Lytechinus pictus: one gene and its partners. The protein of the gene in region 3 purifies or fractionates together with the protein of the main gene of each other region. This does not show direct contact. Links are inferred from orthologs where the notes say so. Each region holds a gene or a part of one and is shown on either strand. Other genes may lie near its edges. The genes, in order: MICOS complex subunit Mic60-like, armadillo repeat-containing protein 1-like and dnaJ homolog subfamily C member 11-like.

Region 1 (7,397 bases), on a different chromosome or scaffold from region 3:
CAGTTTTTTGTGTGGATCTAGGCCTGTTTTACAGTTGTCGGCCACGGTTGTCGGGGAAGTTCACGGTTGGCGGATTTGCCCTGAAAATTTTCGGGGTTGTCGGCGCCCGCCAACCGTGACGCGTGGTAGCGAGAACGTTGGTTCTGGTCGCCGATCACGACGACAAAAGTCGCCTATTAATTTTAGTCTGACGACTCATTGTTTATTTGGTTTGAAGTTGAAGCCGAGTCCTGGCCAGGGTGACCAGATTTCACAAAATGAAATACGGGACAATCGACAAAAAAAAAGATCAAGAAAGAAGGCTACACAGTGTTAGACTTGTGAAAAAAGTACAGGATTGGAAGGGAGGGTGAACGAAAGAATGAAGGAGAGAAAGAAAAGAGATGAATTGAGAAGAAAGAAAGAAAAAATGTTTGAAAATGAAGGAAATAATAAAAAATATAAGAAAGTTCTAATAAAAAAAGGATGAGAGAATAAAAATAGATAAAAAGGTTTCCGTCATTCTTTGAATTGAATATAGAAAGAAAAAAAAAAGAAAAGGGAAGATGAATAAATGTGTGAAAGTCAAAATAAAGAAGAGAAAGACAAAAAGAAAGTAAGAAAAAAGGAGGAGGAAAGAAAGAATGAAGGAAAGAAAATGTTTCCTTCATTCTTGGAAAGAAAAACAAAGAAAGAAGAAAACAGGAAGGAAGGAAGGAAGGAATGAAGGAAGAAAGGGAAAGAAAGTAAAAGAGAAAAGAATAAGAAGGACAAAATGAAATAAATAATGAAAGAAAGAAAGGAGGAAAGAGAGGGAGGAAAGAATGAAGGGAGGAAAGAATGAAAAAATGAAGAAAATAATGGAAGGGAGAAGGAATGAAGGAAATAAAAAAAAAGGAAATGTAATAAAGAAGGCAATTAAGAGAAAGAAGGAAAGAAAGAAAATGAACAGAAAGAGAGAGAAAGGATCAGGAAATGAAAATAGATATGTAACAAAAAAGGGCAAGAAGGAAGGATAGATAGAAAAGAAAGAAAGAGGAAAAAGTTCAAATATCAAGCAAATAAAAACAATCCAATCATATAACAAAAATCCTAATGATATTTGGTGTTTTTTTAATATATATTTTTAAAATTAAAAAATACTAAAATGTTTTAGAAATGAATAAAATACGGGACGTCTGGTCTGGCCGAGTCAGTCCGAAGCTTGCATGCATTCAGCACGATCTAGCTCGAGACTCGGCTGGCTCGCGATCGCTCGTGTACGTCCGTACATGTACTGTAGCGCCGATGTATTAGAGCATAGAGAGCATGCGCTCAGAGGGTGAGAGAGGGGTTTCCCCAGCTAGCTCCTTCGTCGATTAGTAGCGCATGCGCACATTGTAGTTTAGAAAGTAAGATGGCAGCCCCCATCGAACGGGACCGCTGGCGATAAATTGTCGGTAAATTGGCGCTGATTTGACATCTTTCCACTGTTTTTTGACAGGTATGACATTGTATGAGAGATAATTGGCCGATAATTGCAATTTATCAAAAAATTATTAAACTTTACTGTCAATTTATCTTTTTCATTTTCAAAACAACCACTTGCCCGATCGGGCAATTGACTTTGAGAAATGCTTGCCTGCACGTCATTTTCACTTGTCCCGGGCAAGCGGGTTTGTCGCGCCCTGTTGATAGTATTGGAAAAATATTTAGTCTTCATCGTCATCTGAACCTTTTATTTCGGAATGACGACTTTTCATAAAATCATATATTTCAATAAAAGGGGATCAAATAATGTTTTATTTAGTACTGATTGTAGAATTGATGTATGGAGCGTACTTTATGAGGTAAAAAGAAAAAAATTCAAGATTCACAAACATAACTGGATAAAATCGAAATTTTCATTATTTCCCTTATTTAGAACACTGTATCCTTTTAGAGACACCTTTCATTGATATTTCAACGAAAGAGACTCTTGTCCGACATAAAAATTGATCTAACTAAGTAATTTCGACATTTTATTAGTTCAATATACTGATTTTTTATAGAATACATATATATAATGATGATTTTGCAAATTATGCGTTAATATGTTATTTGTTGAGGTAAAAATAGGGTTTGAATGGAGTAAACAAAATCAACAGTGTCTGATTGTATGAGACTAAAAAGGAAAATATGAGAGGATGCCTGTGAAAAATCTAATTCATTTATTTTATTTGTCACATATAACGCAAGAAATACAAATGTGAGTGTTTAGAGTATAAACATACATGTACCTCAGTTGCATGATGAGTAACCGAAGACAAGGAAAATATGAAAATTGCTGCAAACATGTCCAAGTGGATAAAGTAGTGCTTTGCAATAACAATTAAAACATAGAAAAAGGTGTGCAATCCGCAATGGAAAAAATACTATTTACAGAAATAATGCTAAATATTACAATGATCATAAACGTTGGCATAGTTTAAAGTTGATCACTTAATTTATGGAAGCTTATATAAGAATATAAGGTTTGACCTGTGACCGATCGCGATCGCATGCGATGTTTTGAAATCAGCCGTGAATAATACGTGTGAGGAGAAAGATACTGGCCCAAAATCACCAATTTTGAGGATAACCAGAGGATGGAAACGGAGTGAAATACAGGTGTAGAGTAAGATATTAAGTTATTCATCTTTCTTGTTATATTTTTTTTCTTTAATTTTTACGATAAACATGATTTCCATCCCACCTTTGTGACTCAGTATATCCGAACTGGTTCACCGTCTCGATATTCGTGTAGGTGGAGCGTAGTGTAGCGGTAGTGAAGTGGAGTGGAGCCTGCACGAACATCGCTCGAGGTAGATATAATCTAACCTTGTTCTCTGACTTTGTTACTACTCCCTGTGTGGTGAAATAAGGTTGGCAATGTTTGGCTTACGCCTTACTTTTCTCTTTTTCTTTGGGAAAAATGCATGATTTTTTTACACTGTCAGTTTCCATTACAGCTATTCATCATATAACCTGGCTCTTGAGTAAATTTGATTCTTTAAATTATTTTTTCTTAATTTAAAACAGAGATTGAAAAATGACAATTGTCTTGCCATATTACTTTCCACCAATAGAGGGCGTACAAAAAAATATGCCCAAAATTCAAGTTTTCGAGCGCTCTGGTGAATACAAAAATTACTCCCAAGTTACTAATGAAAAATAAATTGCAACGTGTAATCGTGTATGGAAATAAGTATTTTTGGTCACAAAAGTGATATTTTAATGATTTCTTTTTTATTGTGTGTTGTGTACTGCATTGGCATACCATCAGTAGAGGTGCACGGCCAATATGGGAGACTGTCTCCCATGAGAGAGATTATCCCAATATTAGAGACTTTTTTAAAGAATTTGGGTATCCAATTTCAGAGACAGTCTCCAGTTTGGGAGGCCAATTTCCTTCGTTTACATTTGCTGCAAGAGGATTACCTTCCTGGCAAATAAAAATGTGATAAGCAGATTCCTCATGAAAAATTACCCCTTTTCAACGTCTTCTTTAAAAATTCACGGACTACTTTTGTTTTTAGAAGGATTTTTGTTGTCATCCACACACAAAACAAATGGGCTTCTGACCTCAGTGAGACAAAATTTTGGGTGGAAAAAATTACGCTTTTGTTGGTGTTGTTTCTTTTGTTCTTTTGCAAAGCAAGTCTCCAATGTGGGAGATTGTCTCCCATATTGGAGAGAGTCTCCCATATTGGCCGTGCGGGTAGTCCTACCTGTAGATTCCCCACAGGCAGGGTGGTTGCAATGAGCAAGTGCAAGCACATAGAGGCAGGCCGTTGTTTTCACTCGCCTTACAATAAAGAAGCTTAGTGTTTGGAATCCAGTTTGCATAAATCAAGTTGCAATGCCAGGTAATTCAAATGACTTATTACAATTTTGGGACTTCTGATTGCTCATTGGGTGATTTCAAGTTCAGTGTTGACCTTTTGGTGTTGGTGTTAGGTCAATTTTTACACGATTATAACACCAAACATAAAATGGAGATGGTCCCGAAAAGTCACTCACTAGTTGATGAGATGTCAATAATGTGATCTGGATCAGTTTTACAAACTCTGAATAAGTTTCGGAGCTAGGGGAAGCAATCCAAATTCCAACACCAACACCAAGGCCAACACCGGACTTGAAATCACCCATTGGCTTCTTCTGGAAGTTAATAATCGGTAAGCTTCTATCAATTTCAGATTATTTTACAAATGAGTCTCAAAAACAATTCCAAACAACCCCTTCCATGTATGTACCTAAAAATTGCAACCGATTAATCTATTTTGTTATCCTTTGTTGTTGGTAGGCATGTAATTGTCGGACGGCCAATCGGGTGAGCTCCAATTCTGGAGGACAATGCAGTTATTGTTCAAAGCCCAGCTCGGCCCCTGCTGGAGCTCCTAAATCAGCCCCTCCACCGCCACCACCACCGCCACCATCTGCACCAAAGAGGTAAGTCTGTTGAATCAAAACACGATTGTATTGAAGGCCTGTATTAAAATAAAAAAAAATGATTTGGTCAAAATGGCACATGGCAGAACTTTTTTTTAGGCGATTCCCTGTGTATGCTTTGTAGACTAATTGAGAAATTTACTGTATAGGCAATGCTTCTGTGAATGAATTAGTTTCAGTGAACATTGTGAATTAAATGCCAGTAATTGGAAAGTTGATTCACAATATAAACTAAGATTAATTTGTGTGCGGTGTATCCCCAAAACTTATGAACCAAAATTCAGGGATGAATACCAGAGTAATAACACAGATGTACTATACCCATGTTGATTTTCACATTAAAAATGAAATGATAGGTGTCATTTTAAAACCTGTCTAAAATGTTGCCAAACATTAAAAAAAGAAATTTATAGAAGATTATTATTTCAAGTATTCCAATTTTTGTGTATGATATGTTCACTTTGTATCATACTGGCTGCCATCACCCATGATGTATCAAAGTGAGATGATCCGTTGGTGAGGTACATGCCTCCTTGTGTTGGATAAATCTTGCCCAAGCTGTGATACTGAGGGGGCTGCGTAACATATACCATGCAGTGAATACATAACCAAATGTATATGTATGTGTGTGCTCGTAATCTTCATTCCATATGATGGAGGCATTGAATAATATGAAGCATTTCTACTCCATGCTGACTGCGGAGTCAGCAAATACCCTTCACCTTGCACTTTAAATGTTTAACCCCCAAATAGGCAGAATCATTAAACTTTCCCAGGACAATCAACAAGTGTAAAAATGGTAAAACGGGCACCGTTTCAAGGCGATTCGGTGACTGTCTGTAGGAAAAAGCGTCAACAAAACAACAGACAGACATATATAGACACATGCACCAGATTAGCCAAAGATTGCATGTTTTACACAACATGTGTTTTGTGATACTCTTTTTTTAAAATTTTTATTATATCAAACAGTCAGTTTAAAGCGTAGACCTGAATGATCTTTAGATTTACACAACTATCATATGGATTTGAAGTCATGATTTGATTGTTTTGTTCTTGTAGGTCTGGTGGTGCGGGGAAGGTCATCATGGGCGGTCTATTGGTAGGAGTAGGAGCGACCGTTGGCACGTTAGCCTACGCCAAGGCAAACCCTGAATTCAGGAAGCAGGTGGAGAGTAACTGGCCTTTGCTCCTGGACGTCTTTCCTTACTTCTTCGATGAGGATGCATCGCCGGCAGAGACCGGCAAGTCTAAAGCAGATACCATGTCTCTTGGCGGAGGAAAGAAACCGTTGATACCCACCAGGTAGGTCTTAACACGAAAGTCCCCTTCCGCATCACCGATCTTTGAGGCTGGTTGTTTCTTCAATTTTATTGAACAGTTGTAGAGAAAATGATGTTGTTGATGATGATGGGTTCTTGTATAGGGTCGATATCCGCCTCTGCTGGGCGCTCATGGCCCTTGCTCAAAAATAGGAAATGTCTCACAAATTTCAAATTTTAATTGTGTCATGTAACAGATAGCTCAAGCTTAGCTCGAGCTAAAGCTTGGTTTCTAATAATAGTGTACCTCGGATTAGATTATTTCTCGATAGATGGCACTATATAAATGTCTATTCCTCTTCTTACCTCTTTTTCTTCTTCCTTTTCTTATAATTGTTGTTATTATTATCATTATTATTAAATCAAGAGAAAAGTTCATTTTGAAAAAAAAAATTGTTTCCTGTTGTCATTGGATAGTGGGATAATGAGGGTGAATATGAATAATGAAGATATGTTTAATAAAGAATCTTTAGCAAGATAGCCAGATGCAAAATGGCATTTTGCCATATCTGTTATAGAAAAGGATTGATAGTGACAAAAGAAGAACATATGCAGGAGAGTGACTGATGAGGTGAATAGTATCTATTGAAACTGAATCAAATAGGCCGGTTTACCATATGGGTGTTCCTTTCTTTGGAGCCTAGTTACAATGTATTCATCCAACCTGTCAGTAATAAGGCATCACTACTGTATTTGGAATCCAATGTGTACATGTATGTATCATCTGTTGCTATGTCTGGCAAATCTCTGACAATTTTTTGGGGTTGTCAGGAGCAACCTGTGTTCAGAAATATGCATACAATTTTTATACATATGTATGTTAATCGACAGATCTATGAGTGAATTTGATTTTTTAAAGCACTGCAACATATGGTGGCCACGATGGGGGGGGGGGGGGCTTCCAAAGAAGTACTTTTAATGGGATATTCAATAAACCAGGTGTGTTGCTATGTCAGTAAATACATTATCTTTTGATAAGACATGAAGCCCCTCCAGATAGAAATTACCATAAAAACAGCAACCAAACCAAACCATATTGGTCTGTACTAAACTGAACTGAATAATTGTTCAACAAAAAAAATCTAAATATCCAAGTATTTATTCCTACATTGTGTTGTCTCCATCATGCCAGTATTTATCAAGCGCGCATCTCTATTTTTTTCTTCTTTGTAGCTCACCAAAAACCATCACTCCCGTCAGTGAGGCACCACTTGCTGTATCTAAACCAGTAAGTACATATCTGTTGATATTCACTAGATGTAGTTTCAAATATGAGAAGATGTGTAAATTATGAAGGAGCATGTAGTTCATGATGATTACTTTTTGTCTCGCCCACCAGAGGTGTAGGCGAGACTTAGGGATCCAAATGTTGTCCGTCCGTCCGTCACAAACCATATGACACATAACTCTGCAACTGTAAGTCACTTTTCACCCAAACTTGGGTTGTAGATGTACTGAGGAGACCTGCATGTCATGGCGCAATCAGAGGTCACATGGTTAGGTCAAAGGTCATTTTGAGGTCAATGATGTGACACATAACTCTGCAACTGTAAGTCACTTTTATACCAAACCTGGGTTGTAGGTGTACTTAGGAGACCTGCATGTTATTGTGTTTGGAGGTCTCATGGTAAGGTCAAAGTTCATTTT
Region 2 (7,796 bases), on a different chromosome or scaffold from region 3:
CTTTCAAATGGGAGACAGTTACCGTGGCCTTTCAAGACAGGTGTCCATCAGAGACAGGTGGCCGCTAAGAAAGGTTCTGACCGTATCTGCAAGAGAATTATAAAATATAAAGGCCACCTGTCTTCAGTGGTCACTCATCTATTTTCTTTGGGCAGTCCTAAGTGACAGGTTGCAGCTACCTGTCTATAGTGACCACTGAAACTGATTCCCATGGAGGTAGATTGTGTGTATAAGAACCTGTCTATAAAGGCAACATTTTGTGTTTCCTTTGGGTTGTCACGACATGTATAGACAAGTTTTACTCTATTCTATAACACCATCGTAATAAATTATGTGATGCATGTGTTCTGTTGCGCCACTTATACAAATTTTGCCTACCCACTAGTAGGTACTCTTTGCAAACAAATCTTGGCCAAGTATCATGAAAAAAATGCAATCAACTGTATAATGAATTGTAACTTAATGTTTTATCACAAACTGTGCACAAGAAAAGCTGCAATCATAAATATTCATTGTATTTCCATGTGTGCACACTTTGTGCTAAACGGCAACATCAAACATTGCATGGTATACTGTATGGGAGTAAATGTACATGTGCACCTGTTTTTTTTTTTTTATCATTTTGAATTCCATTTTCATGTTGATTTGTTTGGTATGAAAAATATTGATAGTAATATTTCTTTTATTTCATCAAGATTTTCATAACGATCCATGTGCCAAAGATAGTAAAGTAGTAGTATAGTTATTTTGTTCATAATCATATATGATCATAAATATGTATTTTATTTGTGTTTTCTGTAAAATAACAGTAACATTAACAAAAATCCATCCCATACTATCTTTTTCTTAATTCTTTCAGATAATGCTTTTTTAAAAAGATTTTGTTTTTGTGATGATGATGAGCGAATAAAGTGTAAACATCTTTCAAATAAAACATTTATTTTTACTTTAAAATCATGTCACTTTTTTCCCCCAAACCGTGTGCCACATGTTTGAACAGGGGCCTGTCTTACAAAGAGTGGGATTGATCGGATCAATCGTAACTCTTTGTAAGACGGGGCCCAGGAATCCTACTATAAATGGACAATTAAAGCAACTGTCTGAGCAGCTTTCCTGCATCCCCCATTTGTTTGTCTAGTATGAAATATGAGAAATAGCGATGTAAAGATGATTTGTTCACAAACTTTCAGCATTACTCCTATTTGTGTAAGATCGCTATGCTTGATCTGTAATGAAATTCATAAGTCTGAAAAAATTGGAACCAGTGGGATTCGAACCTGCCATCTGCTTTCTGGGCAGATGTAAAGATGATTCTGATTTTTTTTCTGAAAAAAAATGGGGCTCTACCTTTTGGGAAGGGGCCTAGCAGATAACCCTTCTAACCTTGTTGTCAGTGCATTGAAATATTTGAGCCAAAGTTGTGATGTTTTCTTTTTCAACCATTGTGCATATCCATGTAAAGATGATAGGCTGAAGTTTATAATATGGGCGCGTCGTGGTCTAGTGGTTCTGACTCTCGCCTTTCAAACAGAGGGTCGTGGGTTCGAATGCTAGCCGTGGCGTGTTTTCCTTCAGCAAGAAATTTATCCACACTCTGCTGCACTCAACCCAGGTGAGGTAAATGGGTACCGGCAGGAAATAATTCCTCAAAAAGCTGTGTTCACCTGAATCTGTAGCCTAGCTTAGCCGGGTAATAATAATAGCAGGGCCCGCTGGGAGAACAGTTTTCGGAACTGAAGTGGCTACCCTGGGTAAATAAACCGTTATTAATATTATTATTATAATTAGGCAGTGTTAAAAAAATAACCTTTATAGTTTTCCTTCTTCCAAATACACATGTCACTTGGCTGTCAAAACCTCATATCTCAAAATTTGAAAATCTTGAGAACATCGCAGAATAATTGTAATCTTAGAGTAAAGTGGCAAGCGTCTTTTGCATTGAAAGATCTCTCTATAGGAATTAGGAGACTGTGTTCAGAAAATCCTTGTGTGAGGTTGCGACCATTGCCGTATGTCTAAAATACAGCCTTTTCTGTGCTGCTCAATTATAGAGATTAGGTTTTGACATATTTGAAGGGGAAGTTCACCGTGACAGTGAGGTGGTTCTAGTAAAAAACAGGAAAATTAGAAGAAAAAAAATATTGGTGACGGAAGGTTCGATGAAAATCAATCAAAGAATATGAGAATTATGAACTATTATTGTGGAATTTGTAATGTAGTATGCTAGTAGATTCAAACAAAGTATTTTTGTTTGTCATGTTCCATAAAAAAAAATGTTATTTATGGAATTCAAATTAAAGGGGTGCATGAAATAATATTTCTGATGATATATCCTCAGCACAAATAATTACTTTTATTTTCATTTTTTTTATAGAAAATTGCATTTTGGGGAATGTAAATCACATACAGGGCCCTGGGTATGATTTTTTAATAGGGGGTGCTGGTTTAAATTTGACAAGCCCCCCCCCCCCAAAAAAAAAAAAAAAAAAAAAAAATCAGTGGTTTTCACTACAGAATGAATGAGATTTTGGTTTAAATTACTGCTATTTACCGGTAGTATACCTTCCTGATTTCCAGGGGGCGCTGCGTATGGCGAATAACACACGCAGCACCCCAAGGCAGGGGGTCATTCCCAGGGCCATGATCACATGACAAATGGGGTAGCTGATTGTCTGCGACATCACAAAATAAAAAAAATAATAATAACTCTCTTATTCTATAATGGATATTCATCGAACCTTCACCAATATTTATCTAAAAATAATTTGCTTTTCTTATTCAAGAGGACCTTCCCCTTTAGACATTCTCATTGATTCCAGGCTACACTTCTTTGCTGCTGTTCTATTTAGGAATTTATTAGAATATGTCAATTTGCAGATTAATATCTTTTCATTAAGTATTTAACAATAACATTGATATCAGAAAAGGTATTTAAAAACCTTATTTATGTCATATTGACAGAGAACAAGGTTAAGGGTAAGTCCACCGGGACGGCAAGTTTGTTTTGACAAATGCAGAAAACTTTAAAAAACATGAAATTTTGTTGAAAATCAACCCCCCAAAATAACAGAGTTTTATATTTTTATATTTTTTCAAGTTGTGATGTTACTTACATGTGAGCAGCTTATTCATAGATAATTATGAATTTCCTATTTACCCTTCATAATGTTAGTAGACTGAAAGTATCTAAATTCCCTTGTTGGTCATTTATGAAGTATGACTGGTGATATAGCCTATTGAATGCACGGCGTAAATCTCTTTAAAATTTATGCGAAAATATCATTTTAGGAAATTTTTATCACCTGGAAAAAATGGGGGACCTGCTCACCTCTGACATCACAAAATCGTGATTTCAGCAATCTGTATCTCTGTTGATGCATTTTCACCAAACATTTGTGAATGTTTCTTTTATACTTCTGATTTATCAAATCCAGTTTAACGTAAGAGTGAACTCCCCCTTTAAAATGTAAAAAGAAACGATAACAGTGGGATTGGGTGGGCCTCCACTTACTATTTCTTTTTACTGAGAATAATGGTGCTGCACTAATGGAGATGATTTTCACTATTATTCCATTTGTATTTGGATCTGTATTGATCAGTGGATTCTAGAAACCGTGTGACAATGCTGTACATGATGTAAGTGTATTTTTTAATGTCACTTGACAGTATTCATATTTTTTTGTTTGTTATTTTGTAAAGTTAGAATTTGTAATAAAATATTATATTACAGATCATGAAAGAGAATACAATCTTCTCCCTTATTTGTTTTTGTGGCATGGTAATTAATGGATAATGAATTTATTTGGTTTGCAGAGGAAGGAATTAAATAAAAGATTGTTATGAAGTGGAAAGAGAGGATAAAGAATGGGATATGTTTAGAATGTTTTTGAAGGAGAGGGAGAGAGAGAGAGAGAGAGAGAGAGGGGGGGATTAATAGAGGTTTATTAGTGAATCATGAATCAATATCACAGATGGAATATGTGATATGAATATTTATTTAAATAAGATAAACTGCCATTTGAAAAAAAAATGTTTATAAAGTTTATATGTATCGACTATTACACTGGCTTGTGTATAAATCCACACACTAATAAAAAATGAAAGAAAGCTGCAGTGATGCAACTCTGTACAAACTAATTTTGACTAAAACTGTAAATTGAAACTTACATGCTTACAATTCTGCTAAATTAATTAGATCTAATACACATTTTTTTTTTCATTTCTAATATATTGGGTCTGTTCTTGCCGAAGAATGCACATTTTAAAATCTTTGATGTTAGTGACAATGCAGGCATCCAGAATACAAGAAGATACAAACCCCCAAGCCACCCCCATCTGTACACCATTGATTTATTCATTCATTAATCAATCAATTAATTTATTCATTTATCTTTTCATTTATTCATTATCATCACAGCCCGGGAGGGGGTGGAGGTGATCGATCAGTCAACTCTGTCACTACGACATGCATATGCACCAGTTATTAGACTTGCAGAGTTCAGTTGATTTAACATTTTGATGGGAGCTCCATCTATTTTCCCTAAATCAGGTGCCAGGACAAGTAAAGAAAACTTAAATAAAAATTGACATGATTCTTTTTATGTACAACACTCAACAGGCCACAGAAATTCGTTGATACTAACAATCAAGAAAGAATCCCTTTGCAGATACCATATATTATGACCTCACTTTGAAACCTCAAAGTATTGGCCAATAGAAAGGCAGTATTCAGGAAGCTGCAACCAATCACAGGCAAGAAAATTGTACACACCGCCATTTTTAAATAGCCCGTATATATCATCGTGCCGCTTATTTATTTCAACTTTAAATCAGAAGCAGAATACAGATTCGAGTGAAAAATTGAAGTAAATCTAAATGAGAGAAAGGAGTCATACATTTCTAGGCCGAGACGATTGTCATCATCACACATCTGTGTCGGTAAGAAAAGATGCGAGATCGAGGGAGATAGCAGCTGATCGCGCGCAGCGCAGCCGGGACCCTGTCCCTGAGGCTGAGCCTAGCCTGAGCTGAGCCAGAGACGGCCCTAATCACTGCCGGGACGGGCGGGGTTGCGAACGCTCCTGTTTAGGTAACCCTTACCCAGGCCAGGGAGCTCCGGCCCGGGAAGCGGGCCGGAGCCCAGGGGCCCGTTTCTCAACACATAGACAAGTTAGTCATATCACTCATAATCCACCAACCACGGAGTTAGTTCCAATCTTACTAAAAAAATACTAATAAACCTGTTTGTTTCTCGAAAGGCTTCCTATCCTAACTAGATAAGTTGAATTTGATATCAATACTATCGGTAAAAAAGAGCAGACGAGACGTAGCCTTGCCCTTATTTAGTCACAAAATAGCATAATTTTCAAAAAGAAAAATTATGACAAAATTGCAAATATTGTGATAAATTGGGAAAATAATCTTTTCAAAATAATAATACTAATAGCACAGGTGAATTATGCATCATAGTTACTTTAAATTAATAGACCATGAAGACTGGAGCATTCAATTACAGAGAAAATTAAATTATGAATCATTCATTTCATGACTAAAAAATCACTTGTGGGCATTGAGATGGGTATCCCAGGGATATCCAATATTGATAGTTTACGAAAGTAAACCATAACGCAAGGCTCCACATTAACTTTTTTTGGTGGTGGCCCGTTCGGGCCACCAAAACCTTCAAATAATTTTTTTTGGTGGCCCGATATTGATGTTTGGTGGCCCGGAAAATATAAAGAAAAACATTAAACATTCTGAAAGATTAATTCTGCAGCCACGACCACTAAGTTACTTTCACTTTGTACATCTTGTGTGTAAACCTTGTTTACTGTTATTTTACTTTGCTAATTGATTTGTGGTAAAATATAAATTGTTCTATCATTGTAAATATGAAATGATTGAAAGAGAATAAATTAATTGTGTGGATTTTTTTTATTCTCCGTATAGACACAGACTCATAATGGAAAAGTAAATAAATAGTGCATAGCAAACTCAGATAAATGTACAAAACAATGAATTTTCCTTTCTTCCTCTTTGAATCCTTAAACCTAGATTATGGAGGCCCCAAATCCAGTTTATTTTTTTTCTCTTTTGCAGCATATTATAGCAGGAGAAAATCACAGAAAAATATGCTGCAAAATTAGAACAATGCATAAAAGGGGGAAACAAACAAAAATAATTTTCAAAAAGTATATTACAAAAAGAAAACAATAATAATAAAAGAAATAAGTGAAATTAAACAAAAGAAAGAAAATGAAGAAAAAACAAAGAACAGGAAAAAATTAAAAAAAGAGAAAAAAGATTTAGACTAAACAAACAAAAGAAAATGAAAGAAAAATGAATAAAAAAAATTAATATAAAAATGGGGAAAGGAGGAAAAATTAAGAAGCCATTACAAATAATTTTTTAATAGTCTATTCTGACTGGAATATAATTAAAAGCCAAGCAAATAATTTTCACTTATCTTTTGGGAATGGCGCATTTCTATTTTAGTTTGCATTATTTTTTTTAGTAGAAACATATTCTTTAATCAGGCTTATTCAATGGGAAGGGGTATAACAAAATGAAAGAAAAAAAAAGAAAACGACATAAGTTATATCGGGAAAAAAGTGTGAGAAAAGTCATTCCCTATATTTGCCAAAATGTTTGAAAATTCACATTTCATATTAATAAAATGACTTCCCAAAGTATTTACTTTCTCAAGAGTGGTTTAAGAAGTCATGTATAAACAAGAAAGAAAGAAACTGTCTGTTTATTTTTGGCTAGAAAAGACACAGCTCCGAAAGAATCAAAGTATCAACATACATACAAATACACACATGGGACTGTGATGTACTCACCTATGGGTTTTTATGTGTATTAATTCATTTGGTAATCGGTCTTTTTGAGTCAAAAGAGAGGTCATAATTCCTCTTTTTAATGCTTGCAAATAATCAGGGTACACCAGATTTTTAGTAATATGGACTGTAGAAGGGCATTTCATTGGTGTAAAATGTGACTTTGACTTAGATTTCCAAAGTTCTGTGGAAGATTTCTTAGCAGCAACATTTCATATCGCAGCTCCCTGAGTCTGAATAGGCTGCCAGCGCCAGCGCACAGCTATAGCTGCGCATGGCTTCATGCAAAGCTAGCTCACTCCAGCCTGCCGGCGCGGCCGGCTGGATAATAGCTACTGTGTGCTGTAGCGGTAGTACTGTCATGACTATGCAACATTTGTGTGTAGATCAACAAAAAAGGCGCACGACGAACTGGCTTGCAATTTGAATTGTAGAAAGTTGATAAATGCGTGCAAAATCGGGAGAAAAATTGTGCTACTGTGAAAACTATTGGTTGCCCGATTCGGGCCACCAAAACATAACATTTTTTCAATACTGGTTGCCCGAGGTGAATTTCTGGTGGCCCCGGGCCACCGGGCCACCGCTAATGTCGAGCCTTGCATAACGGTTTTCTTTGTAAAAATATGATGATAATTATACGGTCTTTTAGTTTTACGATTCCAAACGTCATCAAATTCAAAATGTAGTTCAATGAAACATTTTTAATCATTGATACCGAAACATACGATATTTGACAAATTGTATGCATGAATTAGACTAGAATTTATCCAACTGTCTGAAAGGGGTCTGAAAACAACAAATACGAGTTCAGTTATGGATGGCCTGACGTGGTAGAATCTTTATCGATTAAATCATGGAGCTATTTGTATTCATTCTACTATTTATTATTTATTTCAAAATGAATGGTTTTGTGGCGTCTTACCAACAGTTTTTATAGTTTCATTGTATTACAGTTAT
Region 3 (7,794 bases):
CGTTGTTAAAGATGGCCTCTGCTGTTTCCTTGTCTGCATCCAAACCGTGTTTATCAGGGTGATACAGCATACACATGCGTCTATAGGCAGCCTTCAGCTCATCTTGGTCCGCCTTCACAAACAAAAATAATAACAAGGATACATTCACTTGTCATACATGTACTCAGTTGTCTGTCTGCGGACCTATTTCGTAAAGACTTGTTATAATAACAAATGCAAAATTTCTATAACAAGTTTACCATCAGCCAATCAAATTGAATGATTTCAGTAGCTTTAAACTCTTAATAACCATTTGTTATTGTAACAAATTTTATGAAATGGGCTCTAGATCTGATATTGATGCACTCTAAATAACCACCCATTGGCCAATAAACTTTCAATTCTGCAAGTCTATAATTTAGGTTTTAAAGTCCACTTCTACTGGTACTTAAAATAATAAATTCCTGCAAACCATTATAACATATTTCATAAGGTTGATTGGAAGATTTTCAGTACTGGTTAGTAAATGGTCAGTTACTCTTCTTCTTCTTCAGGTTTAATACATCTGCCTCCTTCATGGTTGAAGATTCTTGCAGATGGTAATGTTTTATACATAGCAATGTTTTCCCGCCTTTAAGCCAGGAGCCCCGCATTTAGCGGGGAGTAGCAATGACAGGCCAGTAGCTTTTTAGTACATCCCATTCATTACCTTGTGTATTTTGTTGTTTTGTTGAAATTTAACAGTTTTTCAATGTTCTTTTATTGTATTACATCATTTGATTTGAACTCAATGTATTCTATATTTTTCTTTTTAGAGAAAGAGATATAAAAATACATGAGTTTGAATGAAATTATTTCAATTTCAGTTCATCTTAATCTTATCCATACTCCATAGTCATTTTGAAAAGGATAAAAGTAAACTATGGCATGTACATGTAGTTTCATTAAATTCAGAGTTTTCAGACCAATGCAACGCATGGCACCTCATCCACCATATCATAATAAATCAGCAATATAAACAGCACTCCTTACATGGATCATAAAATTATCCTTTCACATATGAGGTTTTTCAATTATTTTCATTAATCCACACCAAACGACATCAGAGCACCACTGTCACTAAACTAAAACTTTAAAAGTTACTTTTATGGTCCTTGTATAACTAAGCATATTAAAATGAATAAATAAAAGAAGTGAGAGAATTTAGGTGACTGGATGAAGAAAAAGAAAGGAAAAAAGAAAGATATATTCAAAGAAAGGAAACATGAAGGAGAAATTAGAAAGCAAGAAGATAGGAAGAATTATTATTGTAGTACACTAGAAGCCTGGAACTTGAAGTGCATGGAGGAAGGATGTACAATTCCTATGGCGCTCCCACAAGCTCCGTGAGGCAGCTGCAATTCACCTCTAAACGACGCGCGAACGCTGCTAAGTGCGCAGTTCCATTGCAAACACATGTGAAAATAGTGAGCGTACACACAACGGCCGCTACATTTTGAGGTGTTGTCGTATTTTTCATGTTTTTATTATTTTTTCAGTCGTAACATTGACTTCCTGAAAAAAATGGCGACCGACATCGGCTTGCGAAAGTGCCAGTTTTTAGTAAGGACACGTTTTCAAAATCCACGAACATCGAGAAAACCATGAAAAATCCACTTTTTTTTACCCCTTGTTTCTTAACTACGATGTTAAGAAGTACCGATGGTGATATTTTTGGTGCGAGATATGGCGATTTAGGTAAGAAAATTTCACTTTTTATTCAAGATTTTGCCCATGTCGCCGGATGATTTTGTAGTGTGGGAGTGAGTTAGTGAATGTGTAGTGTACATGTAGAGTGTGTTGGTAATTTCAGTGGTATATTGCTGAGTCTACATGCTGAATGGCCGCACACCAACCCCCTGCCTCGCACTGACATGACGCAGTTACTCTAGAAATCTAACTTAAGAAAAGTTTAGATTATTTTTAACCTTCTTCTTATCTTTAATTTCAATTTTGGGTGGCTGTCACCAAACAAAGGGACTCTTCCCAAGAGATATTCATTCATCATCAAAAAGCCTGATTACAACTTAAAGGACAAGTTCACTCCAACTTAAAGTTGATTTTAATAAAAAGAGAAAATTCCAACAAACACAACACTGAAAATTTCATCAAAGTTGGATGTAAAATAAGAAAGTTATGACATTTTAAAGTTTTGCTTAATTTCACAAAACAGTTATATGCACATCCTGGTCTGTATGCAAATGAGGAAACTGATGACGTCATCCACTCACTATTTCTTTTGTATTTTATTATATGAAATATTCAAATTTTCTCCTCATTCCCAAGTGAAACAACGATTAATTCCTCCCTGAACATGTAGAATTAGCATTGTTTAATATGGTTCAGTCAATTTCAAGTCGGTCCTTATTCGTTATTGTCAAATTTGTTTTTAAAATGAAATATTGTATAATTCAAACAATAAAAAAAAAGAAATAGTGACATCATCAACTATCTCATTTGCATGTCACTCAGCTCAGCTGTGCATATCACTCTTTTGTAAAAATAATCGAAACTTTCATTTTTTATTTTTAAAATGTCATAACACTAATCTTATTTTTACATCCAATTTTTATGAAATTTTCAGTGAGACAGTGTTGTGCTAGTTTGATTTTTCTCTACTTATTCAAATCAACATTTTTCTGGGGTGGACTTGACCTTTGATGAGAAGAATGCAAACCCTCGTTGCTTCACACCTACACAATAACCGTGCACACCACATGCAATTTATCTCATGTGCTATTCACATACATATTTCACGGAATCGTGATGACATCCCTTCACTCGCATGTACGGAAAATTGCACACAATAACCTGGGCACGATCACATTTGGACTCTTTTAATTCATTATTTGACTCTCTTTTTGTCAGTCAGTATGATTAACTGCAGAATTTCATTACAAAAACTCCAACTTTCACACTGACGATTTTCTATAATATTCACCTCTCTCCTGACGTTTAGAATAGCGTAATAATCATCAGACGATGACTGCTCCAGATCTTCAATGGGCGCTGCCATGTTTCATTCGTGTTTTTTCTGGTGATCAAAAATTGATTTAGCTATAGCGCCATCTAGCGGTTAATCTATATAACTTCTTGAAAAATTTTGTCAAAGAGGAATAATAACTTCCATAATAACTCTAAATTGTGTCGCCCATTTATTATGATACGCTGTAATCCTGCGCTGTATGAGGGGCATTTTAACAATATATCATACAGGTGCCGCGGAAAAGTGTGGGGGGCTGTGGGTGCTTCAGCCCCGCACCTTTTTCCTAAACCGTGTACAGGAACGTAAAAATGACCATCTGATTATGATTTTTTGCATGGTCAGCCCCCCCCCCCCCACTTTCAAAACCATTCCGCGGCCCCTGTCATAAACTATTTAAATCATTTAGCCCACTATAAGGAAATTTTTTATAAATAAATAAATATCTTCTTCTCCTTCAAAAATTTGGACAAATTTTATTAAAAAATTAAATTTAATGATAAATTTTGACATATTAATATTCAGAAAATAATATCTTATTTAATCCTTTTCTCCTTCCTTTTCTCTTTTTTTCTTGGACGTGATTTTTTTTTTTTGGGGGGTCCAGGCTCCCTAGGGATAAATTTTCCGACAACTGCTTTAATGAAACGCTTCCTAGGGGGTCTCATCAGTAAAAGAAGCTCTGTAAATTGAAGTTTGAACTCTAGTGACATATTTATAAATGAATATTAAATTATTCATTATTTTTAATTCGTTGACCATTCCTAGAAGAAACAAAGAATGTCTAAATACTAATTAAAAAAAAATCGGTAATGAATCCCTTTCACTCAGGCCCTACTCATAAAATTATTTTTCAAGGTAATCGGGGGGGGGGGGTGTATAGGGGAGAGAAAGCCAGTTAAGCCATCCACTTTTTGTGGCACATAAAGTGACCCTATATTACAAGAAAATGTCACTTTTCAGTGCCCCTTTCATTTCAGATGCACATGCTTTATTTTCTTATATACGAGTGCCAATTTGCTTTTTAAAGTGCACATTCTCGTGTCATTACCCTGTTAAAGGAAAAATCACCGCAACAAAAAGTTGATTTGAATAAAAAGAGGAAAATCCAACAAGTATAACAATAAAAATTTCATCAAAATCGGATGTAAAATAAGAAAGTTATAATAATTTGAAATTTCGCTTAATTTCACAAGACATTATAATGTCTACGCACATCCAGGTTGGTACGCAAATGAGGTCGAATGATGCCGTCACCCACTAACTTTTTTTGTATTTTGTTATATCATTGTCCTGGGAAACCATTTTTATTCCTCCCTAAACATGAAGAATTAACATTGTTTAACATTTTATGGTTCAGTCAAGTTGGTCCTCATTGTCACATCGATAAAAATGGAAATATTGTATAATTCAAACAATAAAAAACAAAAGAAATGGTGAGTGAGATACACCATTGACTCTCTCATTTACACATCAATAGTTCTGCATATAACTGTGTTTTTTTTGCAAAATAAGTGAAAACTTTAAAATATCATAATTTTACTAATATCTTACATCCGATTTTGACAAAATTTTCAATGCTGTGCTTGTTTGATTTTTCTCTATTCATTCAAAGCAACATTTTTTGGGGTGGTTTTGACCTTCAAATTCAAAGAACCCTTTTTCCTGCCCGCTCATGCAGCGCCAATTATACCGTTCTGTTCACTTCTGTAAGTGCATTTTATTGAATAATACACTGTAAGAACTGTGGTGTTAAAACTGACACCAGTTGGTGTTAATAGAGGACCACACCCCGAGGTGTTAAAATTACACCCTAGAGATTGAACATAACACCAAAGAGTGTAAATGTAACAACCAAAGGTGTTGTAATAACACCTATAGGTGTTAAACTAACACTGTCAATTTAACACCGGAGTAAAATAACTGGTGTGGTCCCTTATGTACACCGGTTAACACCACAGTTTTTGCTGTGTACCTTTCAAAATCTGTATATTGCCACGAACCTAATTCGTGCATGGCTCTTTTTGTTCATAGTGAAATTCCTCTTTCTGATTAACGCATCGTTTGAACATGCCCTTGTTTACCGTCTGAGATAACCCTTCTTCTTTTTTTTGGTTTTTCAAAAAATAATGTCCAGTCTGTTAATGTATAAGATAATTACAAATAGTGTCCTTTCCATGTCCTTTCACATCATATCGGGTACCCATTTAGCACCTGGGTCGAAAGTGGCAAAGTGTGGATTAACGCCTTGCCAAAGGTATGCCAGACCGCGGTGGGATTCGAACACACAACCCTCTGTTTACAAGGCGAGAATCAGAACCACTATACCACGGGTCTTCCACTTTTCTTGCCCCATTCACATGAGTGTGAGGGTGTGTCCCTTTTTTTTTTTTACTTTGCCCCTCCCCCCAAAAAAAATTACGTTCCACCGCCCCTGATCCCACATGTGATTAGTTTCATGAAATTTGAGTGTCTTATGCGTCATGTCATTTGGAGTCTGTGGGGTAGACACCCGCAGCCTTTTGGATGATTTTTTTAAGGGGGCGACTTAATTGTACCCCCCAAATATAATGCCCCCATAACAATATATTTGAATTTAAAAGATAAAAACATTGTGGAGTGGAGAACAAAATACCGAGTGGGGGCAGGATTTAAAAAAATTTGCAAGATTGCGCTATTGGGACTGTGAGCTTGCTAGTTGTGAAATAGATTAGATGAGATTGAAAGTATTTATTCCATTCCACTGGCGTAAATCCTTGCTTTACACCTATTGTTCAGGGGGTGGAACAATAGATCATCCCCCCTGAACAACAGGTGTGACGCAAGGGTTTACGCCAGTGTTCCATTCATTATAAAAAAATTAAAAAAACATAACAAAACGAGGTATAGGCCTATAATTCAAAGTTACATACATTACATGGAAAATCGTGAAATAGTACAATATTGATCAAAATTTATTTAAAAAAGAGTATATATCAATGAATGAGAAGCAACTAAAAAAGGCAAAACCTCACTATAGAGCTGCCATCTATACAAAACTGGAAACTGAAAGTCTGTCATTGCGAACTATATATATTTTGACGGTTATGTATACCAGCTAGATAAACATATTGAACATAAAAAGGGGAAATGCAAATTATAACAAAATGACCACAAAATAAATACATATACAACGATAATAACTTTAAAAATAAAGAAAGGGGGAAAAGAAAGAAAGTAAACCTGATCAAACATTATAGAATATTCACTGAGAAGTTGGATTTATATTTCCTTTTAAAAACATTTGATGAAGGACTAATGGAATTTTCAGATGGCGCAAAATTTCTATCCATATGTTTCTTGTCAGAATTTCCCGAGCACATACATGTACATGGGATACCTGGTACCCGACCTGGTATTCTGCCGAACGTTATCGCATGCACACGATTGGTGTATAGGGGTGTGGCAGACTGGCAGGGGTGTGGCTCTTACCCCTTACCCCCTATCTTGCAAGTGTCTGCAGCATCCATGCCACCCGCTTTGCCCCTCCATACCATTTCTTTCTGATGGTTTTCTAGAAGCCCACTTTCCATTTCCATATTTGTTTACCCTATCGATACGTCAGATCTTAGATGTAAACAGGAATGGTTTTCAGAGAAAAGGAGAGCAAACTCGGGAGCAAACTCTTTATTGTTTCGTTTTCACTTCCCATTCAGCTTTCAGATTAAAGTTTATGGAGTCAACAATAGGCAATGAGTAAATGAAAAGCTATGTGAAGTGACCCCAAACGACGTCACGTCTGCGCACACAACACTGTACCGGTATGTATAGTATCGAGATCCTGTTTCAGTAGCTAGTATTCAGTTACCCTACTTCATCGTGGCTTCGATAAAACTCCCACAAACAAACGGAATTTCAGAAATTTGTGAGAATTTGTTGATTATTGGCATTATTTTTCAGGAATCATCAAACCCAGCTTCGACCGACAGAGCCAAGTGAACGGTAAGCGATAGCATTTCTGTGCATTTTATCTGTATTTTCAGGGGGTTAAAACAATCTTCATTTCTGTTGAAATGGGCCTTGCGCTTGGCCCGGGTGCAAACGATGGGATGATGCGGCGTGGATGGGCGATTGGCTACCAGAATGCGGTGGGTCGACGTCTGCCAGTGCCACTACCACTACATGACTGGTGGTACTGGTAGAATAAACTTCTGGAAGTTCTGCTAGTTTCATTCAATTCATGTTGATATATTCAATGGGAACATGCGTATTGATGCAAGGGTAGCATCTTCAGAAATATGTGATGCATGTTAACTTTAGTTTAGAAAAATTATAATTATTTTGATTTGAACTTTGCAAAGATTTAGATCTAGCAGTAGCATGTCTAACCAGTTTTAGACTGGGAGCACATTTTCTCGACATTATCTTGACCTAAATCTACATGTAGCTACCGCATGACTTCTATTTTGTTGTGAAACGCTTTCATGGCTTTGGGCATGGTCATGGAAATGGCAATGAATATCTTGCTTATTTTTGTTATTTATACATTCTTTACAAAAGGTGATCTTAAAAAAATATACCAACATAATTCACCAATTGATATCTTCCTTTTCACAGCCTCGCCATTTTCAGACTTTCATGTACCAAACATAATTTTAGCAGGATTTAGGTCTTTTTTGTTATTCTTTTAAATTATCCCTACTACTTCCACCTGGATCCCTGCCAGTATCAATAATATTTTTCCATGATGAATTACACGTTCATGGTTCAACATAAAAGCTTGAGGTATATCATGTATATTTAGGTCAAATTAT

Evidence for each region.
Region 1: the proteins of dnaJ homolog subfamily C member 11-like (region 3) and MICOS complex subunit Mic60-like purify together in Homo sapiens (co-immunoprecipitation; 3 studies listed by BioGRID and IntAct, with this or other methods). This does not show direct contact. The link is inferred for Lytechinus pictus from reciprocal best matches to the Homo sapiens genes DNAJC11 and IMMT.
Region 2: the proteins of dnaJ homolog subfamily C member 11-like (region 3) and armadillo repeat-containing protein 1-like purify together in Homo sapiens (affinity purification with mass spectrometry; 4 studies listed by BioGRID and IntAct, counting the BioPlex papers as one, with this or other methods). This does not show direct contact. The link is inferred for Lytechinus pictus from reciprocal best matches to the Homo sapiens genes DNAJC11 and ARMC1.

What each region holds. Positions count from the first base shown.
Region 1 is NC_087256.1:25,316,956-25,324,352, forward strand, and holds the start of MICOS complex subunit Mic60-like, read left to right. Parts: upstream 1-4,287; 5' UTR 4,288-4,428; intron 4,429-5,490; 5' UTR 5,491-5,515; coding exon 5,516-5,733; intron 5,734-6,923; coding exon 6,924-6,978; intron 6,979-7,397. UniProt on the Homo sapiens protein: Component of the MICOS complex, a large protein complex of the mitochondrial inner membrane that plays crucial roles in the maintenance of crista junctions, inner membrane architecture, and formation of contact sites to the outer membrane.
Region 2 is NC_087261.1:15,317,956-15,325,751, forward strand, and holds the start of armadillo repeat-containing protein 1-like, read left to right. Parts: upstream 1-4,744; 5' UTR 4,745-4,938; intron 4,939-7,796.
Region 3 is NC_087258.1:23,414,492-23,422,285, forward strand, and holds the start of dnaJ homolog subfamily C member 11-like, read right to left. Parts: upstream 3,080-7,794; 5' UTR 3,035-3,079; coding exon 2,960-3,034; intron 113-2,959; coding exon 1-112.